Linked DNA regions of Rhinolophus ferrumequinum. The protein of the gene in region 2 interacts with the protein of the main gene of each other region in a pairwise test. Links are inferred from orthologs where the notes say so. Each region holds a gene or a part of one and is shown on either strand. Other genes may lie near its edges.

Evidence for each region.
Region 1: the proteins of FBLIM1 (region 2) and CUTA interact in binary tests that used the Homo sapiens proteins (3 or more experiments, as listed by UniProt). The two-hybrid records come from large-scale screens. The link is inferred for Rhinolophus ferrumequinum from reciprocal best matches to the Homo sapiens genes FBLIM1 and CUTA.

What each region holds. Positions count from the first base shown.
Region 1 is NC_046286.1:3,725,118-3,739,621, forward strand, and holds CUTA (protein CutA), read right to left. Parts: upstream 7,949-14,504; 5' UTR 7,931-7,948; intron 7,846-7,930; 5' UTR 7,841-7,845; coding exon 7,799-7,840; intron 7,526-7,798; coding exon 7,317-7,525; intron 7,141-7,316; coding exon 7,081-7,140; intron 6,979-7,080; coding exon 6,933-6,978; intron 6,808-6,932; coding exon 6,758-6,807; intron 6,662-6,757; coding exon 6,535-6,661; 3' UTR 6,438-6,534; downstream 1-6,437. Other genes in the region: PHF1 (PHD finger protein 1), read left to right, coding at 2,153-2,311, 2,398-2,479, 2,588-2,683, 3,118-3,218, 3,317-3,465, 3,643-3,738, 3,949-4,017, 4,156-4,279 and 6 more; SYNGAP1 (ras/Rap GTPase-activating protein SynGAP), read left to right, coding at 10,367-10,433, 13,569-13,690. UniProt on the Homo sapiens protein: May form part of a complex of membrane proteins attached to acetylcholinesterase (AChE).
Region 2 is NC_046292.1:10,556,418-10,571,605, forward strand, and holds the start of FBLIM1 (filamin-binding LIM protein 1), read left to right. Parts: upstream 1-6,948; 5' UTR 6,949-6,970; intron 6,971-7,264; exon of another isoform or gene 7,265-7,358; intron 7,359-10,717; exon of another isoform or gene 10,718-10,738; intron 10,739-10,795; exon of another isoform or gene 10,796-10,891; intron 10,892-11,031; 5' UTR 11,032-11,042; coding exon 11,043-11,292; intron 11,293-15,188. UniProt on the Homo sapiens protein: Serves as an anchoring site for cell-ECM adhesion proteins and filamin-containing actin filaments. Is implicated in cell shape modulation (spreading) and motility.

The DNA.
Region 1 (14,504 bases), on a different chromosome or scaffold from region 2:
CCACTCTGCCCAGCAATTTGTGTTTTGCAGTGCAAAAGCCTGCACTTTGCTTTTCTCCCTGACAAGCTGTACCCTGAGTGGCCTTCAGCTCCCATACTTTCCTGGTTGTCCACACCTACCATGTTTCCCGGAAAATGAGATCTAGCTGGACCATCAGCTCTAAGCCCTAATGCGTCTTTTGGAGCAAAAATTATAAGACTGGGTCTTATATTAATTTTTGCTCCAAAAGACACATTAGAACATTAGAGCTGATGGTCCGGCTAGGTCTTATTTTTGAGGAAACACGGTAAGAGGTGTGCCCACTAGCTATCCACAGCCACTAGTTGTTTCCCCGCTTGCCACAGGCCACCCTAGCTCCGGAAAGGTGGCCACCTGAACCCAAGGACGGGACTGACACACCCTCCCATTAACTGCTGGCTCTTTCCTCCCGCCCTTTCCCGGCCTTCGCGTTCGAACGGCCAGGCCTGGCCCTGCCCGCTGCCCATTGGCTGGCTCTCGGCGGCGTCACCGCCTGGGTTCTAGCCCTCCTTGGTCGGCGCCCCGGCCCTGGAAGTGCGGGGCGGGGCTCACGCCCGCCGAGACCGTCGCGCCAACAGCCAACGGCCGCCGCCCCAGAAAGGAGGGGCTCGGCCCTCCCAGGTGCCGCGCGCAGGAGGGGTCACGCGTGCGCAGAAGCTAGGGGGGACAACTTGCCACCTAGAGGGTGGGGCGGGGGCAAAGGCGGGAGAGGAGGGCGGGGCACTAGAGGGAGGTGGGCGCGGAGGGGGCATAGGGAAGGGTGAATGGAAGGCGGGGTCGTGAACTGGGGTCGGGGGCGGGACTTGGAGTGACCATGGAGGTTGGGGGGGCAGTTAACGGATGTGGCATGGGGCTGGGGCCAATCCGGAGGGCGGGCTGCCGGGAGGCGGGGGATTCCCTCCTGCCCCCTGGGCGGGTCTCCCTTCCGAAGAAGGGGCTTCGGGGATTCCCTTTCCCGCCAGGTCAGACTGTCCGCCCGCCCCACCAACGGAGAGGCCGCCGCTGGCTCGGCGCCCTCCAGGCCTGTTGGAGGTGAGGGAGGTGGGGTGAAGTAGTGCCCGTCCCCCCGCCCCCCGGCTCCTCCTTCCCCCCAGTCCTCCCCTCCCACCACCCTCCCCCCGAGCCAGTTTGTCCCTCCCCTCCCCTCCCCTCCTTCCCCCCGCCGCCTCCTCCTGCCGCTGCCGCTGCTTTGGCTGCTGCGTCATACGCCCCAGAGCCGCCGGGACGGAGGGGCTGGGCCTGGGGACCCCCCGGCCTCTGCCTGCACGCCCCCCGACGCCCAGACGTGCCCTCCCGGCGCGGGGGGTTCGCCTCGGTCTCCCACGTCTGCCTCTGCCCAGCTCCCGGCGTCCCCAGCTGTCACTGGTAAGGAGGCGGCGGGAGGCGCTCGTGGTGGGGGGGGAGCAGGGAGCCGGGGGTCGGCGCGCAGGGCGCCAGCGGGAGAGCCTCGTCGCCCTGGCATCGGGTCCGGCTGGGCCGACTGAAGTCCCCTGTTGGACTCGCGGTCGTGGGTAATAGAGACTGGGACTGGGACACGCCCCCCTCCCGGGGCACTCAGGGAAGTTATCTAACCCGAGGGCAGGGAGCCCCGAATTTGAGGGCGACCTGACATAACCTGACATCAGGATAATTGTTCTGAATGAGACACGCGGGCCCAGGGAGGCAGCTGTTTCTACTCTGGAAAACATCGCTGGAAAAGCTCCCAAAATACATCTCTGGGTAACAGAGCACCCCAATTATGATACCTCTAAACAGCAGGAGAAGGTGACAGTAGAAACTGAGTGGTAACCTTTGCTTCTGCAACCATTGTTTCTGCTAAAATCTCAAGGCCAGGATATAATATCCCAGGGGAGGTCTGGAAGCTGGGAAACTAGAGAACTAGGTTGGGGGTGGGGGGGGCCGTTAGGGAGAGGAGAGGCAGTCACCAGAGTTGGGAGAGCTGGAGTCAAGAAGCTTGGGAGGGGTGCTGATTGGTTTCCTATCCAGGTGTCTCAGGGATTTGGAGACTGGTGGGGGGGGGGGGTGTGCAGCTGCTTCAGTCCTTGACAGAAAAATAGGCAAATAAGGAAGGTTTCTTGGCTTTCATAACCTTCTCCTCCCATTCCACTTCTGGCTAGGCCCCCCCCAGGATGCAATGGCACAGCCTCCCCGGCTGAGCCGCTCTGGTGCCCCCCCACTTTGGGACCCAGCTTCCCCTGCTCCCACCTCAGGCCCCAGGCCTCGACTTTGGGAGGGTCAAGATGTGCTGGCCAGATGGACAGATGGGCTGTTATACTTGGGGACCATCAAGAAGGTAAGACCCTTCTGACCTGTCACCTCTCCCCATTCCCCTTATCTAATGCTGATTCCCATTTCATCCTCTATGCTCACCCATTCCAGGTGGACAGTGCTCGGGAGGTGTGTCTGGTCCAGTTTGAGGATGATTCCCAGTTTCTGGTTCTATGGAAAGACATTAGCCCTGGTGAGATCTTAGAGGCCTGGGAGTGGCTTCCCATGGAAGACAGAAACCTGGCTTGGGGGAGAGAAGGGGACCTAAGGACAGGTTCCTTGACACTGTGTTCCCTCATAGCTGCCCTCCCCGGGGAGGAATTCCTTTGCTGTGTCTGTCGCTCTGAGACTGTGGTCCCTGGGAACCGGCTGGTCAGCTGTGAGAAGTGTCGCCACGGTGAGAGGGCAGGACACCTGAGTGGTCCAGCTTGCCCTAGGCCCTCTGGGCGGTCTCTGACCCTTCCCACCAGGACTGGTCCTATGCCACCTATTCTGGCCTCCGTCCCCAAGCTACTGCTCTGGCCAGTCTCCTTGAACCTATAGTCTCACTCCCTTCCAACATAGGAAAAGGCAGCCATGGAATGGGGCTGTGTGAGCTTTGCAGGCAGAGGGTGGTTCAAATACTCCCTTTTCAAACCATAGGACTTTGGGCAAGTCCCTAAACCTTTAGGAGCCTCAGTTTTCTCACCTGTAAAATAAGGGTAATACCCCTCCCCCTCCCCAGGACCATGGTCAAGGATTAATGAGATAAGATTCTTCCTATCCTGATACCTAGCACACGCAGGTTTGCAATGCAATAAATGCTCTACCATCGATAATATCATTCTTCAGCTTATCACCAGGACTGCCATGTTCCAAGGGCCCCAGCCCCAGGAGAGGGAGAGGGCACATCCTGGGTCTGCCGCCAGTGCATCTTTGCCATCGCCACCAAGGTAAAGGCATCTTCCTGTGGGAGCCTCCCACCCACAGCCTCTCCCGAGTCTTTCTCTCCCCACCCCTCTGAAGCAGCCTGCCGGTTCTCTCTCTGCAGAGGGGGGGTGCACTGAAGAAGGGCCCCTATGCCCGAGCCATGCTGGGCATGAAGCTATCTCTGCCATATGGACTGAAGGGGCTGGACTGGGATGCTGGACATCTGAGCAACCGGCAGCAGAGCTACTGTTACTGTGGTGGTCCTGGGGAGTGAGTAATGAGGGGGCGGGGTTAATGAATGAGTGACAGTGTGGTGGTGGGGGAACCCCAGGGAATGGAGAAAGAATGGTGAGGGGAGTGCTGAAGGGGGTGGGAGTAGGTGGTGAGCAGGGTTGGGGCAGTTAAGGAGGGAGTGTCTAGAGGTCACCAGTCCCGTGTCCCCTTCAGGTGGAACCTGAAAATGCTGCAGTGCCAGAGCTGCTTGCAGTGGTTCCATGAGGCCTGCACCCAGTGTCTGAGCAAGCCTCTCCTCTATGGGGACAGGTGAGACCAGGGCACTCTCCAGGAGCCCAGGGGGCCCTCTTGTTCTCCCCACCCTCTCAGTTCCCCCACACCCGCCTGCCCCAGATCCATTCTCTTCCCAACCTCTGGAGTGTTTCTCACTGATTCGCCCATCCTTGGGTGCTTGTGAGTCCTCCAGAGCATGGTATAGTTTTCCTGTCTAAGGTATGTCCTCTCCTTGCTCACATCCAGGTTCTACGAGTTTGAATGCTGTGTGTGTCGGGGGGGCCCTGAGAAGGTCAGGAGGCTACAGCTTCGCTGGTGAGCTGGATTGGGCATGGCCTGTGTAACTCCTCTCTCAACACCCTGTTTTTCACCCTACCTGCCCCAGCCTCCCACTCGGGACTCCCCTGGCTTTTGTAATGCTTCCACAACCTTGACACCTCAGTGTTTCTCCAGGGTGGATGTGGCCCATCTTGTCCTCTATCACCTCAGCGTTTGCTGTAAGAAAAAATACTTTGATTTTGACCGTGAGATCCTCCCCTTCACCTCTGAGAATTGGGACAGTTTGCTCCTTGGGGAGGTAAGGAAGAGTGAAGGTTTGGGTGTTAAGGTGGAACAGGGAGATGTGAAAAAAAGGGAGAGGGAAGAATCAAGCTCCCTTGAGCCCATTTTCCCTCCCTTCCCCCAGCTCTCAGACACCCCCAAGGGAGAACGTTCTTCCAAGCTCCTGTCTGCACTCAACAGCCACAAGGACCGGTAAGTTGAGGAGAGGCTCAGAAAGAGATGGAGGTGTGGAAATGGAAGCCTGGGAGGGGAGGCACTGCAACTCAGCTGGAAGGTCATCCCTGGAAAGGGCTGAGTAGTGGCGGAAGAGTGATGGCAGCACTGACCCTGGATCATTTTTCTTCTCACCCCAGCTTCATTTCAGGGAGGGAGATTAAGAAGAGGAAATGCTTGTTTGGCCTCCATGCTCGGATCCCTCCTCCTGTGGAGCCCCCTACTGGAGATGGAGCTCCCACCAGGTCACTGGTCCAGGGGGGATGGGGAAATTCTCAGGGTATTAATCGGGGTATATGTATGGAGATGGGGAGGTCTTTGGGGTGTCCGGGAGGGGGCTGGGGGGATAAGGAGGCCTCTTACAGCTTCCCTTCAGGGCAGGGCCCTGGGGGAGGGGTCTCACGTCCCCTGGGGAAGCGCCGGAGGTCGGAGCCAGAGCCCCTGAGGAGGCAGAAGGGGAAGATGGAGGAGCTGGGGCCATCCTCAGCAGTGCGCAATCAGCCAGAGCCCCAGGAGCAGAGGGAGCGGGCTCGTCTGCAGAGGGCACTGCAGGTACATGGACGGGGAACTCCATGGGCAAATGGTGGCATGGGAAGGAATCAAGGATTCTCTCTCAGTCCCTTCCTCATCCTTCTAGGCCTCAGTGTCTCCGCCACCCCCCAGCCCTAACCAGAGTTACCAGGGCAGCAGCGGCTACAACTTCCGGCCCACAGACGCCCGCTGCCTGCCCAGGTCAGTGCTCCTCCACCCTCCAACCGGATGTTCCCTTAGAACCTCTCCTCCAATTGTACTTACTCTGGATTTTCTCACCAGAATTCTTGTCCCTCCTCCCCTTGGCTACCCACTGCCTGTCCTAGAGACTTCTAGAACCAGTGTCTGGTCCCCAGTGTCCTGGGGATGGGGTTCCGTGGGGGCAGTGTTTGAGCTCTGCCCCTCTCGGGGGGAGCATCCTGTTCCCCCACGTCAGGTCTTGCCTCTCCTCTCCCCAACCCCAGCAGTCCCATCCGGATGTTCGCTTCCTTCCACCCCTCTGCCAGCACCGCAGGGACCTCTGGGGATGGTGAACCCCCAGACAGGTGAGATTCTACCCCTTTACCTGTGACACCCCTCTTCGCCTCTGTTCTTAAGATCCTCAGTCTCCAACCATTTCTTCATTCCTCTAATCCACTTGTGGCCTCCATTTCTCGTCAGTCCTTATTGTGTCTGGACTCACAACTGCCTTTTCTCCCTAGGTCACCCCTGGAACTTCATATTGGTTTCCCCACAGACATCCCTAAAAGTGCCCCCCACTCGATGACTGCCTCATCTTCCTCAGTCCCAGCCCCCTCCCCGGGTCTTCCTAGACGCTCAGCACCCTCTTCTTCCCTGTGCCGTAGTTTATCTCCTGGGACTGGGGGAGGAGTGCGAGGTGGGGTTGGCTACCTGTCCCGAGGGGACCCTGTCCGGGTCCTTGCTCGGAGAGTTCGGCCTGATGGTTCTGTGCAGTACCTGGTTGAGTGGGGAGGTGGGGGCATCTTCTGAACAGCCTGCCTCTACCCACCTCCCCATTCACACACACCGGCACTTTCACACCCTGACCTCTGATCTCACCTACAGCTGGGATGTACCTGGGGAGGTAGGGGGTAGTTCTCCCTACTGCCTAGGCGGAATCCAGGTTGGGGGGAAGGGGAAGAGGCTCTCTCTTCTCTTCTCCCTTGATTCCTGACCCTTCCATCCCTCTTCCCATTTCCTTTGATGTTATTTTGTTACAGCTTTTAAAATATTTTTAAAAATTATTTAACCCCTGGGGATGGAGACTGAGGAGGGGAGGGATAAGGATCCCAGACTCTGTATGACTGAAATAAAGATAAACAAATCTAGCAACTCTTGAGTCATTCTGAAAGATGAGAACAAAGGCACTAGAAGCACTGATCTTCCCACCCAAATTCACATACATGACAAGAAAAGGCAAAAGCCAGAAAGAACCAAAGATAGGATTTATTAAGGGCCCACGCATCACCTGGAAGTCAGAGAGCACTGCAGTCTATGAGGGAATATGGCAGGAGCAGCGCCGGCTCATCACGGCAGGGCTGTGCTCGAGTCAGAGCCTGACTCCGTAACCTGGCGCACCCAGTGCAGGTACGGGGAGTTTCCCTGCTCCACAGGCAGCGCGATCACCTCAGCCACTTCATAAGGGTGCACAGAGCTGTGAAAAAGATGGGGGGGGTCACTCAAAGATTTACCCGAAGGAGCCCAGCCCCTCAGACTGCCCAGCACGTCCCACCCATCTCAAAGTTCTCACCGAACAAAATCTGTCAAAGCTGGAACCAAAGAACTTTGTGTTTTAATCATCTAAGGGACAAAGAAAAACATGGCTGAATCAAGGGGTGGGATTGATTTCAGGATCTCAGATGAGGGGTAGGGGTCCAAGGGCTCAGGGAACTGAGGTTTTGTGGGGTGGGGGTAATGTTTCTCACCATCAGCACCTCACTGTCTTCCTCAATCTTTCCTTTCCACTCATAGCTGAAAAAGGCAAAGAGAGTGTTGTGGGAGCAAAAGTTTTCCCCAAGAGAAAAGACTGCCAGCCAGCCCCCAGTTAGTTTAACCCCCAGTCCTATGACTCACATGGATGTAATCTGAGGGATGAGGTTGACACAGGCTGCCAGGCGCTTCTCCACCACAGCCCTGAAGGTGAAGAGATAACCCCATTCAGAGCAAGCACCCCATGACCCGAATTTTTGCACTGCCAGCCCCGAAGCAGCTGGAGCTGCTGGAGCAGGGAGGAAGCAGCGGGAAGGCAGTCTTCTTCCCCACCCCCAACTCCCTTCCTGCTCATCCTCTCTCCACACTGGGGTCCCCACCTGGCGATCTCCTTGGCGACCTTCTCGTTGGGGCAGGTGACAAAGGCTGCAGAGACCGAACCAGGTACATAGTCAGAGCCCGAGGCCGGCGGAGGCCGGAACGGGGGGCTTCCTGAAGCCATGGACAGCAGGGCTCGGGGTAGCAACTGAAGGCGGGAGGCCAGAGGCAGCAGCGCCGGCATCCAGAGAAGCGACAGGAGCAGAGCGGCCTGGTAGCAGGAGGTGAATTCGGTGTCTCCCCACAAAATGTCCCAGGAAACTGCGCCCACCCCAGGAACTCTTCGCTTGCACAGACACTAAGGCTCTGCCCTGCCTTTTCTGCACCCGGAAAGAAAAGGTCCCTGAAGCTGGGAGATAAACCTGAAAAATCAAGGCAAAGGCACTGTTTTCACTCCCTCCTCAGGGGCCAACCTCTTTGAGATTTTGGGTGCGGGTGGTGGTCGAGGCTTCGAGGACCGGAAGGGGCGGGGCCGGTCACTCACCCCTCCGCCGAGCAGGATTGCGGTAGCCCGCACCCCACTCATGCAGCCTATGTTGGTAGAAGAGGGTTGAATATCAAAGGTCACACGTAACGTCGAGAAAGGACCCCAAGCCCAGGAAGAGCGACCTCTTACCTGGGTGGCAGCAACGTGATAAGAAAACAGCGCACACCACGTGAGAGTAGACGCTGGACCACCCGAGTCTCCAGAACCAGCCAATCCGGCCCTCACGTAGCCCGATTTGCCCCGCCTCCTGGTGAGGGAGGAGCGAAGCGGGAGCTGACCAATCCACAGCCAGATATTCAGCGGTAAACGGCAAGGGCACGCCTGTTTCCGTGTAAACCGGAAACCGCCAATTGCAAGCGGAGGAGAGCCGCTGCGCCGTTCCACTGTCACGTGAGGGGGCCGGTCCCTTGGGCAGCGGTACCTCAATGAGTGACGCGAAGAAGCCAATCGCAGGCCAGCCCCGCAGGCCACGTGATGAGAGACCTGGCGCTAGGAAAGTGGTGCTGGAGACACCGCCGACTGGATGCGTCAGGTTGTGGAGTGAAGAATCATCTTTAGACCCCAGAGAGTGCCTACCGTGTTTCCCCGAAAATAAGACCTAGCCAGACAATCAGCTCTAATGCGTTTTTTGGAGCAAAAATTAATATAAGACCCGGTCTTATTTTACTGTAAGACTGGGTATAATATAATACCGGGTCTTATATTAATTTTTGCTTCAAAAGACGCATTAGAGCTGATTGTCCCGCTGGGTCTTATTTTCAGGGAAACACGGTAGTAATAGCTCCTACACTGTTCCCAAGGCCTGGATGGAGGAGTAGGAGGGTCTGAGAAGATTGAACCTCGGGGTGAAGAGAGCGCCCCCTGCCCTTTTGGTTAGGACTGACATATGCCTGGGTTTGGGAATGAATAATGATAATCTGAGGAGAAGCCAGCTGTCCCTAGGTAGGGGGGCGTGATTAGGCAGGCCCCAGCGTGGCAAGACGATGGCTTGGTGAGGAAAGATGCATTTTAAAAGGACAGAGTGAGACCCTGTAAATGGGATAGAGGATGATGAAAAGGAGGCTGAGGGCGGCTCAGCCTTCTTAGCTGAAACCCCAAAGCTGGAGCCAGACTGGTGAATCGGGGGAAGAGGAAAGATGAGAGCTGCAGGTTGGGATATGGAGAGGACACCAGGAAGTGGTGATGGTCCTTTTGTCCCTTACCCCCTTTTTATGTCACTCTCCAGGACTGGTCTACCTGTCAGCCTCGGGTTCCCTTCCCGTAACCCATCCCCCTAGGAGCCAGGACCTGTCCTACATAACCTCCCTTGGGCCCAAGCACATCCAGTGACCCAAAAATGGAGAGAGGGGCCAGAGAGAGGAGAAAGAGGTAGGAGGAAGCAGCAGAGAAAAAGGCTCTTGCCACTCCCCCTACCCAATATTGCCCCTCCTTCCAAGGTCTGGGGTCTCTGGTCAGCTGGGTGGGTGTGATTGGGCATTTCCCAGGCTGATGTCAGAGTTCTCTCAGACCTACCTCTCTGGGATTGGGGTCTACTCGAGAGCTCTGTCTTTGGGTTGGAGTTTGTCTCTGAGATAGATCGCTGTAAGATCTTTCAATGTTTGCATTGGGATCTTTCTTAGGACTGGGTTTTCTTTAGGATTTTGTTTTGGGGTTTCTGTTTCTGGGTCTGTGGTCACTCTCCAAGGTCTTTTGAACTTTATGAGTTTGGGGGTGCTGAGTTCTCCATCTCTGGGACTAGTTGAATTCTCTCTCTCTCTCTCTCTTCCCCTTCCCCCCTTTCTCCCCATCACCTCCAAGGTCTGGAATTTTCTGTCTCTGAGTTATCAGTCTCTGAGTGGGCAGTTTCCTTTCTCTGAGATCTAAATCTGGGGTCTCTGATATCTCTCTCTGAGTTCTCTAATTCTAGGTCTGGGTTCTTTCTGAATCTGGGTCTCATCTTTTTCTTTGAGTCCTGGCCTCGGGTCCTGGTCCCTGAAATCACCATCTGAGTCTAGAGTCTAAGATTTCTGTGGTTATGGAGAACCTTTTTGAGGCTGGAAACTCAGATTTTGACCTTTGACCTCTCAGGGTGGTCTGGGGTTTTTTTCCCCTCCCCCTGAGATTGAGGTCTATTTTCCTCTAGATTTTGGATTTGTGCCTCGGATTAGCCCCCCCCCGGGGGGGGTGACAACATACCTTTCTCTGTGGGTCTGGGGTCTGCATCTTTAGAACTTCCCTTTCTCTGGTGTTTTTGAGTCGGGGGTCTCTATCTCTCTGGTTCTCACTGAGTAGGGGTGGGGGCTGCAGAGTCTCTCCTCCTCCTCCTGCTCTCTCCTCTCTCGCTCACTCCCCCGCCCCCCTCTCTCTCCCTCTCTCTCTCTCTCTCTCTCTCTCCCGGCTGCCGCCGCTGCCGTTGGTTCCTATTCTCCTCCTCCTCCTCCTCTCTCCTCCTCTCTGCTCCTCTCTGCTCCTCTCTCCTCCTCTCTTCTCCTCCTCCTCCACCTCCTCCTCCTTCTCCCCCTCTCTCTCCCCCTCTTTCTCTCTTCTCTTTCTCCCCCGTCCCCCCGCCCCCTCCCCCCAGGCCTGATGAGCAGGTCTCGCGCGTCCATCCATCGGGGGAGCATCCCCGCGATGTCCTATGCCCCCTTCAGAGGTACGGTGGTGAGGGAAGGGGGAGGGCCAGTTGGGGGGGGGCAAAGGGGGGAGGGGCAGGGCGGAGGAGGGGGCAGAGCCGGGGCCAGGAGGGAGAGAGGAGGGCTGGGAAGACAGGGATGGGAGCAACGGGAAGGAGGGATTGGAGGCTAGAGGATAGGGGTAGATAGGGACCGGAGGGGACAGGAAACTGGCCTTGAAGGGGGCTGAGGTGAAAATGATGAAGGGGAAAGAGATCGCCAGAAAGGGTGGGAAAATAGGATAGGGTTGGGGGGAAGAGCTGCAGAAATAATTTGGAGGTGGGAGCTTAGCGATGAGGAAAATATCAAGGAAACAGAAGGACAGAGTCAGGAGACGGGCTAGGAAGGAGAAAGGAGAACGGGTGAAAAGAGAAGCAGTAGAATATTGTGGGGGGGCTTAGAGAATGGTAGGGGGTAGAAAAAGAGGAGGATGGAGGGAGAGAAGAAGGGGCCAGATGGAGAGAGAGGGAGGCAGTGGGGGGGGGAGGGTCCAGATGGAGGGAAGAGAGGAGAGGGAGTGGGTTGGGGGAGGAGAGACCAGGGCAGGGGGAGGGCCAAATATGTGTGTGTTTGGTGTGGGGGGGGCAATATAAGTAAGATTGAGCAATGGGAGTAGAGAGGCCGGTTAGACTGCCCCGGACTCTGACCCTCATGAAGGCCCTCCACCGGTGTAATGTAACCCCTGGGGTCTTACCTGCTCCATTCACTTCACCACTTTTACCCCCTCCCCCACCTCCAATCCTTATTTCCATTCCCCCTCCCTCCTCTGATGTCCATCACCTATATCTTTCCCCCCATATGGTGTCCGTTCCTTATATGAGTCCCCCTTCTGTCCTTCCCCTATATCAGTCCCTTCTCTGGTGTCCCTCTCGTTCCCTCTCTTCTGCCTGGTAGCTCCTACATGTCTGCCTCCTCTTCACCCCCGCCTTCTTGATCCCCTGGTCCTACTCCTCCTATTAGCTCCACCTCGTTTCCTCTGCTCCATGTCTAGTGGGGCCCTTCTGATACTTGTCCCTAGGGATTTACCATCATTCCTGCCTCCTCTTCTAGATCCATCCCTTCCATCCCTGTTACCTGTCCCCCAGCCCACCCTCTATTCCCTACCCTTCTCCCCTTCTTGTCGCCACAAGCCTGTGATATCCAATTTCCCCTAATGCCCCAGCTTTTATCACCCATTCCTCTTTTCTTGTCTCTTCTACTTTCTGGGGTGTTGGACATTTGGGGTGCAAAGACACAGGTTTTGGTGGGTGGATCAGAGCCTACAAGAAACCCGCCTCTGAGCCCTGTGGGATTTCTCATCCTAGTACCTCTTGCCCCTTTCTCAGCTGTGTTCCTCTATCTCTTGCATCTGCCTCCAGAATTTTCCTTACTTTAAGTCCAGACAGTGTGTGTGTGTCCAGAGTTGCTCCTAAGCTAAGTTCTTGCGTGCTTCCCTGCTCCCAGGGAGGTGTCCCCTGAAGTCTAACCTGCCTCCCAGTGGCTGCAGCCTGGAGCAGTCCCTCCCCTAATGATGGTGTGTATCAGCAGATTTCTCCTCTGGGGGTCCTCAGAGTTTGAGCGCCGCGGGCAAGTTGCCTGCAGTGGCCGCACTCTCAGAGCCTTGGTGATTTCTGTATCTAGAAGGTATTCGTTAGAGTCTCCGAAATGGCATTGAGATAGTGAGACTTTCCAAACATTGGGGTTTCTAGATGTCTGTATTCTGGGAATTCATCTCTGACTCTGATCTACAGGTTGGGTACATTTGAGGCACATGTTTGTAGACAGAAAAGGGCTAGAGTTTTCAAAACTCTCCTATGCAGGACATTCAGTTGGAAAGAAGCTCAAAGACCAGTTCTTTTCTTGCATTATACTCCTGATTAATTATTCTGTAAAGATAACAGAATTTGATGTTTCTTGCTCTAAACTCTCACACTGTGATACCTTAAGCCTATTTTCTATCACTGATTTGATTTCTCTCTCACTTCCATAGGGTCTGTCCCCTGTGTCCCTGTGATGGTTTGTGGCATTGGGGTTTAAAGGAGAGGAAGTTTGCAGGGATGGGGTCGCGGGAAGAAGAACAGCAAAGTGGGGAAGGTGACCCTGGGGGCATTTCTGAGCATGGGCGACCCTTGGCCTACTGTTCTTTTCTAGAAGTTTTGTCCCCGTGCCCAGCTTTAATCTTTGGAGGCTCCCTCTATGTCACAGGCCTGGATCTTCCATTCTTCCCTCCCCTCTTCCTTCCTCAAACTCCTCACTGTGCCTTGGGAAGGTTCCTAACCCATGGAGACTTGGTGGGGCAGGTGCAGTATTGAATCTTTGATCTCAGCATGGAATGGGGGAAGAATCCAGTCAGTCTCTGTTCATTCAAACAAGGGCATCTTTCCTACCTCCTCGCTCCCAGTCCCCCCACAGCCAAATGCTGACAAGACCCATCCTCCCCCTACCACCAGAAGAACCAGAACTTTCCCCAAAGGATGAGCAGGGTTGGGCTAGCAGAGGAGGGAGCAAAAAAGAGAAGTGGAGGGGAGGCCTGCTCATGTCTATGGCTCTGAATAGATGAGCTCCCTCATCCATCTCTTTTCCAGATGTTTAGCTCTCAGAATCCCATGACCGAAATGTTTCTACACCCCCAGTCCATCCTTCTTTCCCACAGGTGTGTGGCTTTCCTCTTATTCCCTTGCAGGTGGGTCGTGCCACCTTCCAAGTTCTTGTCTTCTGCAGTTATTTGGATGCCCTCGTCTTCCCAGACACCTGCCACCAACCCCTCTGTGGATTTTTCTTCTGCCAGTTTTGCTGCCCTCACCTTTTTATTTTTTTGAAATGGATGGAGAGCTTTCACCTTTCTCTGCCTCCAAACTTGTATGCTCTCTATCATGATATAATTCTCCTCCTGTGCCACCCCTCTATATTTCTTCTCCCAAGTCCACAGAGCCCCCTGTGATGCGATTCCCCTCCCCTCTTTTACCCCAGATATAGAAGCTTATCTTTGTTCCTTTAAAGTCACCCCCAATTTGATCTCCTCAAGGCATGTGGGGTCCCCTTTTCCTGCTTTGTGGACTCTCTTCATACCACTTTAGGCCTCTGTCTCCCAAATGCATAGAGCCTCCCTTACCGTTTTGTGTGTCTCTGTCCCCCAGATGTACGGGGACCCCCTATGCACCGAACCCAATACGTTCATTCCCCATATGATCGTCCTGGTTGGAACCCCCGGTTCTGCATCATCTCGGGGAACCAGCTTCTCATGCTGGATGAGGATGAGGTGAGCAGGGAAGATTGGAAAAGGACCACTGGGTCGGGTGGGAGAATGTGGAGAGAAATATGGGGAGAATCCTCGTTAGTGAAGGGACAGGAGACACCGAGAAGGCTGACAAAGAAGCTATATTTGCAAGCAGTGGGAGGAGGGTGGCCACTGAGATTTGGGCTGGGATGTGAAAAGGGGCCAGCATTCTCACAGGGGTCTTTGAGGGCCATGTGCAGTGTTGGGGAGATGTGGTTCTGAAGATGGGGGACTGCCTCTTGTTTCCACCTGCCCATACTGTGGGATCGGCTAGGATGGGGAAAATAAACTGAAGGGTGAAGAAGTGGGGATTGCTTTGGAGGGATCAGCTCCAAAGCCATCCTCAGGAACCCTCTCCTCTTCCCGCACTGAGCAAGACCCGTCACTTAGTACTAACCAGTCCTTTCTCCATCACGGGACAGAGTCCAGGGACTGGGACTCAGAGAAAAGGCAGGAAAGAGTGGGGTCTTTGGGAAACTGGGAGGGGGCTGGAGGATCCTGGGAGAGATGACAGAGGTCGGTGGGTCTTGGCGGGAAGAGCCCTGAAGACTGGCAATGTACCTGAGATCAGGTGTGGAGAGACACTGAGAGGGCTTTCACCAGGGACATCAGGAACAAATACAGGAGATGCCCCGGGAAAAGATGCCAGGGGTGTGGGGAACTGGGAGTGCGGCAAGTTGTCTGAAGGAGATGGGGCAGGGACTAGCCAGTGTGAAAGACGTGAAATGAACAGAAGCATCTTGTGGGAGGTGGCAGTCATGCAGGGTGATTAGAGAGCCAGGGGAGTGTGGCTTCA
Region 2 (15,188 bases):
CACGTGAGGGTTAGGATTTTATTTTCCTGCAGTGGGCAGCCCGCAGAGGGTTTGCACATAATCTGACTTACATTTTTAAAGGACTTCTCTCCTTGCTGTTTTTAAAAGAGACAAGTGTAGAAACAATAAACCAGCTTGGAAATATTTGGAATAACCCACGTGAGGTGACAGGGGCTTGGACCAAGATGGTAGCTGCGGAGGTGGCCAGAAGTGGTTGGATTCTGGATGTATTTTGAAGAGTTGATAGAATTTTCTGATCAATTAGCCGTGGGCTTGAAAGAAAGAAAGAAATCCGGGCCCTTCGATGTTTGGCTTGAACAACGTGGTGAATGGGATGTGTGGACTTCTGAGGGCAGAGCGGCGTTAGCTCACACAGGTGCAGTCACTGTTGATGAAAGATCCAGGTGCTGGGAGGTGTGTGACGTGGTCTGGGGTTCCAGGAGGCCTCGCTGAGAAACAGCTGTTGAAACGGAAACCTGAAGATTGAAGGGAGTTGCCAGGCCAAGGGATGGCGGTGAAGCGCAGGCAGGTCTCAAGGATCCTGCGGAAGGATACTTACCTGGAAGGTCACAGGGGCGGGAGATGCTGTCACAGACATGGCTGGGGTGGGATTACCAGGGCCACAATAGGGTTTGGCCACAATAGGGGTTTGGCACCCCCCCACCACAGAGCAATGGGAGCCACAGAAGAGCTGTGTGGGGCGGGGGTGGGGGACTGGGATGTGGGCTACAATGACCACACGCTGTCCTAGCAGGATGGTCTGGCCAGTGCGAAGAATGGATTGTAAGCAGAACCAGTCCAATTTTAAGGGCCCTCTTTAGGAAAAAGGATACAAAGTTTGTATGAAAATGAATATGGATTGAGAAAGAGAAAGAAAAGCACAGCGGATTGCTGGAGCCCTAGAGACTGGAGTCCATTCTTCTGACAACATTTGGGAAGTTTGCCAGGAACACTTAGTGGAAAATGCTTCCTAAGTGTAACCTGGATGTGCCCCTCACCCCAGAACACTCCATGACGCCCAGCAGCCCCAGCGCCACACTGGCCGAGGAGTGAGAGGCCTGAGCGGAAGTCTCATTACCTACACAGGAAAGCCACCTCTGGCTAAGAGAGAAGTGGGGAGGCCAGCGGAGGGGCGTGGCATGGCCTAGGCCATGTTACACTTTAGTTAGGAGGGGTCTCAGGGATTGGGGGTGCTGAAATAAAATGCTGCCAAGAGTGCAGGCTCCCAATGGGGTGGGGCTTCAGGGAGGGGGAAGGGATCAGTGAGGGAACAGGGGCTCAGCATTGGCAGGCAGCCAAGGGCTTGGAGCACGCTCCCTCGGGGACCCTCCAAAGTGAGTGACGCTAGGATTTCCTCCCCTCTGCCCGCAGAACGGGCTCTCACCTTCAAGGCCAGGGCCAAGGAGGGGCCCTCCAACCCTGCTGAGCCTCAAGCCCCCTCCATGGCCCACCCCACACTTCCTACCCCCTCACTCTGGAGCCTGTGCTGATTTGCTAAATGGCATGGCCTGGTCATGGGAACCAGCAGGTCCAGCCAGAGCCAGCCCAGGCCCCCGGACCAGGTGGGGATTAAGACCCAGACATTGTTATCACAGCTGGGAGGCTGGGCCTTGGCTGGACCAAGTGGACCCAGGATGGGGCCTGAGAGCGGGGGACTCCATGTGGCGATACCTATGGCTCCCCCTTGGTTTTTGAACATTTCCCTCCAGATGTGGCGTGTTCAGTCAAGGGGCTTGGAGCTAGACTACCTGGGTTCAAATGAAACTTACTAATGGATGTGACCTTGAGCAAGTTACTCTCTGTGCCTTGGTTTCCCCATTTGTTGAGAGGACAGAACAAGATCATGGAAGTAGGGCACTTAACCCAGAGCCTGACCTTGGCCTCCAGTGCCCCTCGCCCCCAGAAGGGACTGTGACTCAGCCTCAGCCACACCCTTCTCATGTGAGGGGTCAATGAGCACATTGGAGTAAGGGGACAGGGAAGGAGGCACTGGCACAGGCCACAGAAGCAGGAACCCATTTCTGGGGAGGAAGGGAATGAAGACGTCCCCGCCTCCCCCATGTTGTCCACCCAGGTAGAGAAAGATGAGCACATTTGCATTTTCACTGGCCGCTCTCTGTTGAGGAACTAAAACTCTGTCTCCCTAGCCCTCAGAACAACCTTGTGAGGAGTTGATTATTGTTTTCTCTGTCTCCCCAAAAGAAAATTCAAGGCTGGAAGAGATTAAGTTACTTGCTCAAGGTCACAGAGCTAGTAAGTACAGGAGCCAAGATCCAAATTCAAGTGGGTCTGACCCCAAAGCCCAAGCTCTTATCAGCTTACTACCCTTTATTACCACTCCCATGATTTGCGTATCCAGCTACTTAAGACCTATTCGTGCATTTTGTAGGGATTCCTGAGACCCTACTACATGCCAAGCATTGTACTGGGTACTGGAGACACCGGGATTGTTAAGACATAGCCCTGCTCCCATTCTGGTGGAAAGTTTATTGGTACAACCCTGCAGCTTTGGGATGTATCCAAGGATGAAAGCAACTCCTAAGTCTACTCGGAGGAGTCAGGGTAGGCTTCTCCAAAGTGGTGACAGGGGTGCAGAGTTTGCTAGGAGGAGGAAGGATCCAGACCCAAGGAGTCTCACCCGCCTTCATCATGACTCTACTTTAAGAAATATAAAGATCATTTTAAGTCGTTGAAGAAAAAGCAAGAAAAAAGAGTGCATTGGCTCCAGACATCCAGGGGACGCCTTCAGGAGTCAGGTCCGTTTATCCAGCAGCTGAAGTGATGAAATCAGTTATCTCTCCTTCTCTATCATCTTTGCTCTCCTGTCCTCCATGTTGGTCCAAGTGTTGGCAAAAATGATGCCAAGCTTGCATCCTGACAGCCTGGAAAAATACTGACTCTTTCCAAATAATTCCATCCAGGCACTAAGAGTAGGGGTGAGGTTCCCCAAACAGAAACTGGATACTGTTACCAGAATCCGGGAAAGTGACACTGGCTGACAGAAACCATGTCCCTTAGATTATCTCATGGGACTAAGTCTCTTCCTTACCTTCAGCACTTTGTCCATCTCCCTGCAAAATCCTGAAACCTCCTTCATCTGTAGGATGGGAAAAGGAAAGGAACTCACCCCTGAACACCTACTAAGCACCAGGCATATTTATCCACATTCCTCCTATCAAATCCCCACAATGAAGCCACAGGGAGGTACTGCTACCCCCAGGTTACAAGAGGAAACTGAGGCTCAGGGAGAAGTGACTTGCCCAAGGTAACAGGCTGGCAAGTGTCAGAGCTGGATTCACCACGGATATTGATGTTACTCATATCTGTGCTTGCCCCAGCCCCGCCCCTGCTACAGTGTGGGGGGGCTCCCACTTCTCTGTATTGATTCACCCCCTGTCCAGCCCCGAGCACAGAGCCCCCCATACAGGAGATGCTCAGGAAATGTGTTGAACGGACCTGACTCCGAGCAGGCATAGAGGAGGATGGAGAGAGGGGCAGGAGCAGAGCTAGATGGCCCCGGGCGGGAGTGGGGCGGCTTCTGAGACTGCTGAGGAAGTGGGCACCCTTCTGTGACCTGAATGTACAACTTCATGCAGCTGCACATCTGGGCACCCCCAGGCTGGGCCTGACAGTTCTGCTCTGACCTGGCCCCAGTGGAGCCTGGCAAGGGGGACGGCAGTTGGACAGACAGATGCTTTCTGTCCTCGAGGTCTCTGGGCCCCGGGGACTTCAGCTCAGGGAGCCTTGTCCCTGTTCTCAGATCTAGCTGTCGAGCATATGGACCATGTGAGCAGAGAGCACTGGAAACCAGGCGAGAGTGATGTAAGAATAGCTAGCGCTACCATCCGTGGGACAGCGACCCGAGGCCCCGAGGGTGCCTTTTCAGTGCCTCTGTCCCCAACAGTTGCAAAGGGAGGGATTCACATCCCCATTCAAAGGCATCCAGCCCAGCTCTCCTATGTTACAGGTGAGGAAATGGAGCTTCAAAAAGGAAAGGGACTTGGCCAAGGTCAAAGCCAGCACCCGAGAGCTGGGAGTTAAGCCTAAGTCTGACCTCAAAATCCATGTTTTCCCTACTGCCTCCCTCCTCCTGTTCTCATGGCTGGCTCCTCCTCGTCTCAGCTTAAAGGCCCCCACCCACCCACCCAGAGAGGCCTGCCCTACCCTCACCTGCACCCCTTATTCTGTCTCAGTGCTTTATTCATTCACACTTCACCACTGGTAAGTATTATATTAATTTTCATTAATATCTCCCCTATCTCCCTGTAAGTTCCATGGAGACAAGGATTGATTGTATCTGCCTAGCACATAGTAGGTGCCCAATTAATGCTTGTTGGATCAAAGCCCTCCTCCTACTGTTGGCAGCAGGTGCCATGCTCCCCTCCCCTTCAGACTGGACAGCAGCAAGTGTCCCCACTGCCTTGGGCCTGCCCCCAAACCTATCTCCTACCCCTTCCCGGCCACCCAGGGTCTCAGCTGCCACAACCCTAAGAGAAGATTGAGCCCTTGCTCAGTTGCTTGGAAGAAAGCTGGTCCGAGGATGGCAAGGAGGGAGGAGGGGAACAGGGCCTCTGAGCTGGCAGACAAAGGGCGTGTGTTCTCATCCAGCGCACTTCCTGGGTTTCCATTGCAGGAAGCTTGGCACCTACCAAGGTGACACTGACACCTGGGTTGGTGCGGGAGACCCTTGGCCAGGACACTCCTTTCTACCTGGGAGCTGCAACAGAGGTGGGACAGGCAGCTGGGGGTGCTGGACAGCAGGTAAGTGGTGGCAGCCAGACCCCCACATTCCCCTTTGACCTTCCTCCTCCTGAGCCAGTCTTAGCCCAGAAGAGATAAGAGGATGTCTGGGTCCAAGACTGGGTCCGTGTAACCTTGGACAAGTTCCCAAGTCAACTCTTTGGTGCCTCATTGTCCCACGGGGGGCACAGTGAGGTGGCTTGGGGGAAATCATGGAGGTGGGGGAGGGCAGCTGCATTTTTCTGTTTTAAATAAGCTTCTGGGTCACAAAGCACTTGAGAAGGGGGTTCTACAGCTCAAAGTGTCTGAAAACCCCTGGGTCTCACCTTCCTCCTTAAGGTCCTTCCCATGTCTGGCGTTCAGCAGTTCCCTCCTTCCTTCTGGGGGAGGTATAGCGAAGTCTCATTCTAAACGTTGCAAAGTGGGAGGCACCACTGCCAGGCCAGGAATGAGCCCTACCAGGTGCTCTGGCAGCCTTGAGTGCGAGTCTCCCTCTGCCTCAAGAACTCTGGCTGCTTCTCTGAGCCTCAGCTTCTGAATCTGGGGAGAGTGGCAGTCACCCGGTCCCTGGGACCAACAGAGCCGTGAACCCAGGGGCACCTACTAGTCTGGGCTTGAATCCAGCTCTGCCACTTGCCCCTTGTGTGGCCTTGAGCCTCTCTGGGCCTCACTTTCCTCATTTGTGAAGCAGGAATAATCAGCCCCACTGCACAGGGCTCTCCTGGGGATCAAATGGAGAGCAGGCCTGTAGGCCGGACACGGCTCACAGGAACCCCTATAAATGGCAACCACTGCTACTGCTGCTGTTGTTATTGCAGAGTGGCTGTTACCGGAACCCCAACATTTTGTTTTGTTTTTTGAATCCACCTACCTGTGCGCAGTGGCCCAAAGAAATGCACGAATAGGTGTTTATAGTATAGAAAAAAAAAATAGTTTAGTATCGAACTGGCCAATATGGAGACAGGGAGCTTATGCTCAAAAACCTGACTCCCCAAGGGTGTGTAGGTTACAAATTATATAGGAAAAAAATCACAAGACACTGTGGGTTAGGGGGTGCGGGCTCGTGCTGGGAGCTGATTTGTGGGAGGTGAGGTAAGGGTAGTCTCTCTGGCCTGATGGGAAAGTAGCCAAAGGGTCGTTCCACTCAGGGCTCAGGAGGTCAAGACGTCATCTTAGCTGCCAGACATCCAGATTGACCATTGGTCAGGTCTCGGCTACTGTCTTCTGGTGCCTCGGGGTTGCTGATTATCTGCAGGGAAAGACGAGTTCTCTGAGGGGACCGAGGAGATTGAGAGAGAGAGATCTAGAGCTAGGATTTAAAGCTAATTTTAATGAAAGTCATAGAGACTCTCAGTTTCAGCTGTGAGGATCAAATGAAAAAAGGATGACAAAAAGTGGGTGAGGTATTTAAGGTGGGGTGAGGGTGGAAGAGCGTGGGACAGGGTTCAAGGCACACCCCTCAGAACCCCCACGAGCGTGAGCCCCTCAAAAGCAGCCCAAGGGCCACCCTGAGCAGCGTGACTGCAGCTTCGGGCCAGCAGAGGACAGCCACACCATGCCTGGCCTCCCCCCAGATGGCGCAGGGTCCAGTGCTCTTCTGGCCTCAGCCACTGTGGCTTTAATCAAAAGAACAATCTGTTTGCCTCTGAATCAGACCCAGATTCCTTTTCCCAGCAATGTTCCCTAGGCCTCCAGGGACTCAGGCGGCCCATCCCGGCTCCATCTCCCGCCCCAGGGCCCAGGCTCAGCTTCCCCTCCCCCCTGCATTATCTATCCACTCCAGCTTGGAGGTGGGAGTGCAGGAGGTGGGAGGGGGTCCATGACAGGTGACCTGATTGCCTGCTGGGCCTTGCCTACCAGACCTCCTGGAGGGGTCTGTCCCCCCAAGGACCCTGGGACCCACCTACAGAGGGCTGAAGAGTTCCAGACAGGTAGTGACAGCTCAGGACACCAAATCCAGGTGACCTGTTTCACTGAGGCACACCCTAAAAAAGCCCCAAGCCCAGCATATATTGACCATTCTCTGTGCTCTCCTCACTGTCATTGTCATATTTTATCCTCAGGCTGACCCTGACAGGTAGGCAGCCATACCCCCGGTTTTACAAAGAAACAGGCTACTGCCCAGGTAGTTAGTGAATGGCCATGGAACCCACGTCTAACTGACTCATAGGACCTTGGGAGCTTCCAGGCCAAACTGAGGTGTAAGCGCCCCTTCCACCTGACAGGGCAGGTAGGGCCACCAACCCAGGGGGAGAGGGAGAATAAAGACCACTCAAGGTGCACAAAGGACACGGGGTGGGTGGGTGTCAGTGGGAGAGCCCTCCCACCCGCCAGGCCTGGGCCGGGGGAAGGGAGGAGGGGTCGAGGGAACAAAGAGAGGGGGAGGGGGCAGCGCGGGGCGCGGCCGGCCAGGTGGGGGGGCAGGTAGGGGCCGCTTCCGCCGGGCGGGAATCCCAGGCCCCCTCCCCCAAGCCTCACCTTTTATGGTAAGGCGGCCGGGGCTGCGGGGCGGAGGGAGCCAGGGGGCGGGGAGGGCGGAGGGGCGGGAGGCCCGCGCTCCTCCCGGCTCTGCTCGCTCTGGCGTCGGACCGGAGCCGGCTGGGGCGCGGGCGGCCCAGGTAAGCGGGGTGGGGGTTGGGGGGTTCTCGCCCATCAGGCCTTGCCCTGGCCACACACAAGTGACAGTGCGGGCAACCCCAGGCCGAAGCCTACCCCGCCCCCAGCCGGGACCCCTGCCCCCTGGAGGGGGCTGGGGAACGGGCTGGGGGTGGGGGCTATCCTTCCGTCCTCAGTTCCTCCGTTTCTGTCCCCGGAGTAGGGGGTAGGGTTGGTGTCCCTGCCCAGGAGCGGAGCGCCAGGGGCGGGGGTGGGCAGGGCGGAAGCTCCCGCACAAAGAGGACAGACAGCGTCCCGCACATGGAACGAATTAAAGTCCCTGGCGGTGCCCCATGGTGACCCGGCCAGCCGCCCTGCTTGGCTGCTTGCGGGAGGGCGCCGGGTTTCTGGAGCTCCGGGGACCTGCGGGCCCTTTTACCCAGCTAGGGTTAGGGGAGGGGCAAGGAGGGGGGCCCCAGGGCTGCCCCTCTCTGGGCCTTAGACCCCATAGGTGTTTGGGACAGGGTGAGCCTGGGCGATCCCCAAGGTGTGTGCTTGGTGGCATGGGTCCTCCTCCTGCCCAGATCTGAGGACCCACGGAAGACGCTGGGCGGTGTGCCTAGATTTCTGTTCTTCATAATGACAGAAGCTAAGTCCTGGGCCTCCTAGGACCCCCAGGAGCCTAGTCCCTAAGGGTTCCTCTTCCCCCCCAGGGGCTGAATAACCAGCTGGCCTTCTCTTTGCACTTACTGTACCAAGATCTTGAGCACCATCTTTCCTTTTAGTCCCTCAGCCAGCCAGCGGTCAGGACAGACCTCATTATTCTCACTTTATAAACAACCTGGAGCCCAGAGAGGTTCTGTAACCTGCTCAGTGTCGCCCAGCAGGAAAGCAGTGGGGCCCCTGTAAACCCAGCCCTGTGCCTCCTCCACTTCCCTGGAGTGGGAGACAGGGAGGGGGAACACCTATCTAAGGCTGCAAGGTCCCCTGCGGTGGAGGGGGGTAAGGGGTACAGTCACACCTCCCCCTCCCTCAAACTTTAATTCCAAACCAAGCATAGATTGCTTATAGAGTATCAAAGAACAAAGCTTAGGGGCTGTTCCAGAGTTTTGGGAAGGGGTTAGAAGGAATAGGACAGGGGACAATGGCAGGGGTCACTACCGGTAGCCCCTGGAGGCCCTCCCACTCAGCCCGGCCGTCCCTGCCCTGGGCTTTAGCTTAAAGCCGGCTGGGTGTCTGGCTGGCTGGATCTCAGCCTCCTTCCTTCCTCTTGACAGGAAATGACTTTCCTTCCCTTTGTTCCCACTTTCTCTGCTTACCCAACTGGATCTCAGATTCACCCTCTGAGGGAGGAAGGATGGGGGTGGAGGGTCCTCTGGGTGCCCCACAGGGAGTTTTCTCACATGTACCCCACTCCAGAGTAACGTGGGGGCAGAGGGACCAGAGGGAAGTTGAGCTTCCCTTTCCTGCCGGTGCCTGACTACTGACCCAACAGACCAGGCTTTGAAAGTCCCCAGCTTGGCCCCTTCCCTTGGGGCCTGAAGTCCCAGCAAGAACCGCAGGGAGTGTGTGTGTGTGTGTGTGTGTGTGTGTGTGGGGAGGGGGGGGTGCCCAGCTGTGAACATCTGGCGTCAGCACTGGGAAGCTTGCCTTGGATGTTTTCCGAGAAACCGCCAGATCCAACTTCCTTAAGGGGTGGAGTGAGGGTCAGAGCTGGGTGAGAAGGAGGTAGAGGGGGCATCCACAGAAGTCTTGGGAAAGCCCAGAATACACTGACCACAAGGTGATTGGTTCAGATTGGGGCATTCTGGGGTGAGAACAGGCCTGAGAATTTGGGGCCCCCATGCCACCCAGGGATGAAAAGGTGTGTCTCAGGTCCTAGGACACCCTGTGGACGCAGATCAGATAGCGCTCCGTTAGAATTCCTAGTCTGCCACGGATGGCCTGTAAAAGTCATTTAACCTCTTGGGGCCTCACGTGGTCCATCCATGAAGTAGGGGCAAAACGGGCTGTTTTGAGAATTAGATGAGTTTTGAGACATGGAAGGCCCTGGGGGCACAGTGCATGGCACACAGCGCCTGGCACAGCCAATGCTTTATCAACCAGTGCCCTGTTGTTTCTTATATTTAAATCTCAGATGCACTCTGAAAGTTGTTTACAAAAATTGATAATTAAACTTGTAGCAAACGTGGGGGCAGAGGGACCAGAGGGAAGTTGAGCTTCCCTTTCCTGCCGGTACCTGACTACTGGACCCAACAGACCAGGCTTTGAAAGTCCCCAGCTTGGCCCCTTCCCTTGGGGCCTGAAGTCCCAGCAAGTCCCAGCATAAAACCAAAGATTATGACAGTCAATATAAGCGTATACACTTCCAGACATCACATAAAACAAGACACAAAAGAGAAATATTTTAAAGAATTTTGAAGCTTTCTTCATAGATTGGTTTCTTTTTCAGAACAGATATTTTATGACCAGACTGAGCTATACATTTTAACCAAACATATAAACCAATTTAGGAGAAATTTACCAGCATATGTTGTTTTTGTTGTTATTGTCCATCAGTCACCAAGATTGCCCAGGGGGCCAGTTGAAATTCATACAGAGGGAGGCCTTGGAGTGGCCCTCCTTACCCCTACCCCTACCTATCCCACCCCACTTCTCCAGGTTAATTCTCTAGGTCCTTAATTACTCTCCTCCCCGCTAAACCGGGTGGTCAAAAAAGAGGCTGAGGCCAGAGGAGTTTGGACTTGACTTGAAAGTGGTAGGGAGCTATGAAAGACTTTTGAGTAGAGGAGAAACAGCTTTACACTCTGCAAAGATCACTCCAGGGGCAGGGTAGGAGGCAGGTTTGGAGCCCACTGGGGCACCTGCCTGAACCAGGGCCATAGTTTTAGAGACGGGACAGAGAGAATCCAGCAATAGAATTAGGACCTGATTGGCTATGGAGGCTGATGGTGGGGAAAAGGATGCTGGCTTGTGGACTGGGCAGGGAGAAGGCTCGGTTCAAATTCCAGCTCCACTGCTGTATGACCCTGAACAAGTGAGCTCACCTCTTTGTCTCCGTTTCCTTATCAGTAGTGCCTCTCCCCCAGCAGCGCTGGGGGGATTTATGGGTTAATGGGCAGAAAGTGCTTAGGCCATCGTGAGCACAGAGTAGCTCTTGGTAACCAGCAGCTCTTATTGTTCTGTCTGCTCTGCCTCCTGGAGGCCGGCCCTGAGGCTGTTTCCCTCCCACAGCGGAGCTGGGCTGAACCTTGGGGACTTTAGCTCTCCCAAGAGAATCCTGTTCCCAGGTGAGGGAGGTACCTTAGGGTGTGGCCGTTGCAGGGTCGGGTGGAGCTGTAGGCGCTGCTCCTTCCTCACACTTCTTGGAAGAGGAACATGAATCATTCCTTAGGGGAGCAGGGTAGGGTTGCCCTTTGCTCCCCCAGGTGTGCAGGTTGGGGGGAGGGGCAGTCAGGCCTGTTGGGATCCATACCAAGTCACTGGGTGGACACCTGCCCTTCCCCAAAGGACCTCGCCAGCTCCTTCTTTGGCTGCGTTGGGTGTCGCTGGCATGGTGGGGTGTTGCTCCTGTCTTGCTGGAAAGAGGGAGGCTCCATGTCCCCAGGTGGAGGGTCAGTGTGTCCATGTGGAATGCACCCCCATGCCCCGAGCCTTGCCTGAGTCCAAGTTCCACTCTGCTCCCCACCCCACCAGGAGCCGAGGCAATGGCCTCAAAGCCTGAGAAGCGGGTCGCCTCATCAGTCTTTATCACCCTGGCACCCCCACGTCGAGATGAGGCTGTGGCTGAGGGAGTGAGGCGGGCAGCTTGTGAGGCCCGGCCTGGCTGCCCCTGGAAGTCTCCTGCCCCCACGAAGGCACCTGGTGCTGGCTCGGCGGGGAGGCCTAGTCCCTGGACACCCCCTGGCAGGGCTGTGGCCACAGTGCCAGCTGTACCCCCTCAGCTCTCCAATGGAGGTAAGAGGGTAAGAAGTGGGAGGGAGACTGGGTCTGAGGCAGCACTGAGATGGGGAGGAGAGGGCAGGCTCTGAGGTCATTCATTCATTCATTCATCAAGCACCTACTATGTGCCCGGCAAACTCTGGAACCCACCTGCCTGGGTTTGAATCCTAGTTCTTCCACTTCTTGGCTGTGTGATATTGGCAAGCCACTTACCCTCTCTTCCTCAGTTTTTCTAATCTGTAAAATAGGGATAATGATAGTACCTTCCTCCAAGGGTTGTTGTGAGGATAAGATGAATTAATACATATGTTTAGCTCAGCACCTGTCACGTAGGAAGTGTTAGATATGTTACTTGCTGTTATTGTTCTGGGCCCAACAGTGGGTACTTGAAAAGAGAGACAAGGTTTTCAGCCTGCATGAAACTTACATCTTACTGGAAATAGAGACAATTAAATATAAAATATAATATCTAGAAGACACAAGTGCTATACAGAAATAAAATACAGTGAATAAGTAAGGAGGTGAAAGTTTTCATAGGGTGGTCAGGATGGCTTCTCCAAGGAGGGGGCATTCAGCTTAGACCTGAATGACGGTGGAGCTGGCAGGCCGAGGTGGAGCTTGAAGGACAGGGGGGAAACCATGTGCAAAGACCCTGAGCAGGAATGCATTCGGTAAATTGAAGGACCTGAGAGGCGATTTTATTATCTCTCTGGCTCTTTTGTTCTTTTGCTGTGTCATCTCAGACAAGCTGTTTCCTTGCTTGGTTCCTTCCTCTGGAAAATTGAAATTTGGTCATGTGAGTGATGCGACCATCACAGAATGGATACTTCACAAATGACTGCTCCTTTTACATGTGCTTGGTCTGAACTGGTCCTGCTGCCATGGTGACAGAGAGCGTTCCAGTCCTCTGTCCCTGCCACTTCCATGGAAAGTCTCAGCTGTTGGGTTGGGTGGCAGCAGTGAAGCACGACAACCCAGCGGCGTGAGGCAGGGGGTTAGCTCATCATCTGGCAGGGCATCAGCTGGAACAAGGAGTCACTGAGATGCTAAGTGTGAGAGACTAGCCCAGGATGGCAGCTGAGCCCCCCGGGCTCCCCCAGGTGCCTAGTCAGACATCCTGCTGTCCTTAGCGAGGCTAGGCAGCCCTGTGCAGCCATCACCATGGAAACCACCTAGAGACCAATAGGAAATGCCAATCACAGGAGGTCAGAAAGGGGCAGGAGAAGGAGCCACACATGAGAGTGCACGGATATTCATTATGACGCAACCTACATTGATCTTTCCGTCCTAACCATGCAGCCTAAGAACACAGCCTTCTCCAGCTGCTTCTCCGTATAGGAAAACCAGGATGGTGATGTCCCAGATTTACACATCAGGACGTGTGACCAATGGGGGGAAAAAAGTCTCTTCTGTGTAGCAGAGGGAGCTCAAGAAATATTATTTTGATGCCAAAATGCCAAAATTTCCAGGGCATTTCCCTGGAATGATAGGCAGAAGATCCCGGAAGTCTGGGAACAAAACCAGACCTTCCTCAGAGCGGGTAGCCTCACCGTCACTGATCAGCCATTTGTTTGCCAACTGGGAGAACTCGAGCCAAGCACAGCACATCTTGGGGTTCAGCCTCGCTCGAGTGAGATAAGTCCTACGTGAGCAGCTTGGTCATGGCCTGACCACAGCACAAAAGCAGGCCCTGGGGCCCTGCCAGCTGTTTAAAGCCATCTCTACAGCACGCTTGCATCTGATGCCTCTTCTAGTGCTTACGCCCTCAGGAATCCACCCACATTTCTTTAGCCCTTTCATCCTGGCAGAAGTCCACATCTTCCACACCCCCAGGCTTCCTCCACTTGGCCCTGGACACTCGCCCAGCCACACCACCTCTCTCATTCTCGGGCTTCTCTTTGAAAGGCTGCTCCCCGTCCTCTTGCTCTCAGCCACCTGAGCCGAATTGTGCTCGTTCACCCCCTTTCTGCACACCTGCCCCGTGGCCCCATGTCCCTCACTCTTGAATTCCTACCCGGGCAGGTACCTGCCCACCCTTCACAGCTTGTTCTCTACGGCCTAAGGCAAGTCCTGGGAGAAGCCTCAGCGCTCCTGCCCTGTCTCCTTCCCCTGGCTCCTGATCCACATTAACTCATCTGGAGCGCGGTTCTTATACTTTAGTGGTGTCAGCATATATCACCCCCCCCTTTCAGCTGGGGTGGGGGCTGTTCCAACACAGCCGGCTGGGCCCCACCCTGGCTGTTTCTGACTCAGCGGGTCTGTGGTGGGGCCTAAGAATGTGATTTCTTTCCCATTTCCAAGAAATGTTGGGGCTCTGGTTTGGGGAGCACATTTTGAGAATTACTGTTTAATCCAAAAGCGTAAAGCAGGTGCGACTTGTGGACTAGAAGAGTAGTTCTCAAAGTGTGGCCTTTGAACCAGCAGCATTGGGAACTTTTCAAACAATGAACATTCCTGGAGTTACCCCTCGCCTGCCGAGTCAGAAGCTGTGGGGGTGGGGAGCAGCCGGCTGAGTTTGAACAGGCCCCCGGAGAACAAGCTTCCTGTCTGTACAGTCCCCTTGGCCCACGGGAGAAAGGAGGGTTCATTATCTTCATCAGCGAGGTGCCCCAGTGAATTAGCAGAGAAGGGGACCAGAGCCCAGGCCTTCAGGGCGCAGGGCGTCGGGCGCTTTCCATCTGCTTTCCCTGAGTATCCAGGGCAGGGCAGTCTGAACTTGACGGAGCCTGGTTACCTTGGGCCAGAGCCTGGCTACCTTGGGCCGTAGTGACAGGAAGTGGGCAGATGCCTCCCTGTCCTTTACCCTGAGGCTCTATTAATAGCACTCAGCCTGTATGTGGCAGCGACAGGGTCTTCACAGGCAGATTCATAGCCCTGCACTACTCTGCCCTGATCCCCCAAGGGAGCTGTCAGCCCCTTGTCAGAGCAGCATGGACGGGTGAGAGTTACACGATAGTCAGTTCCTGGATAGCAGAGGGCCTAGGGCTGCGGCAGGAGCGGGGTGATCCCCCGCCCACCTCTCCCTGCCTGCCAGGAACACTGCACCCAAGAGGCTGTGTGCAAGGACTAGCAGGTAGGATGGAGGGCTACCCTCTCGATGTCATTCCTATCTTGTGTGTATGTGTGTTTGCTGTTAGGTTGTTGTTGTGTGTGTGTGTTCTTTTTTAATGAAACTTTCAAACATATACAGAAGTAGAGAAAACAGTACAAGGAACCCTGTGTACTCCACATCCAGTTTCAACAATTACTAAGATTTTGCCACATGTGTTTTGTCTATCCCTCCCTCCCTGCGTCCTTCCCTCCTTTTTTTTCTCCCTTCCTCTTGTGAAGTATTTCAAAGGAAATGCCAGTAATCAGGTCATTTCAGCCCCCCCCCCGATTCTTCAGGGTGCGTCTCTAAATAGGGCCATTTTGTTACATAAGCACAATGCCAAACAAAATCAATAAGAATGCCTTGTGATTATCTAATGCTCTATCCACAATTAATTCCCCTGAATTGTCATAAAAATGTCTTTTAACTGTTGGATTGTAGTGGAATGAATGGCTTACATTATGCCTTATCTTTCTTTTGAGCTATATCATTCAGTGGAATTTTAAACTTTTCCTCATCTGCAAAACGAGAATTAAATGAGATGATTCATCCTTTGAATCAGGATCAAATAAGATCTGTACCAGCGCTGTCCAATAAAAATATATTGTGAGTCACAAATGCAAGCCTGGTATGTAATTTATAATTTTCTAGGAGCCACATTGAAAAAAGTAAAGAAGAATGAAGTGATGTTACTTTTCATAACGTATATTATGCCAGTATGTAAAAACTGTCATTTCCGCATGTATTCGTTATGAAAGTGACTATGAAATAATTAACATTCCTTTTCCTGTCCTGAGTTGTCCAGCGCATCTTAGTGTGG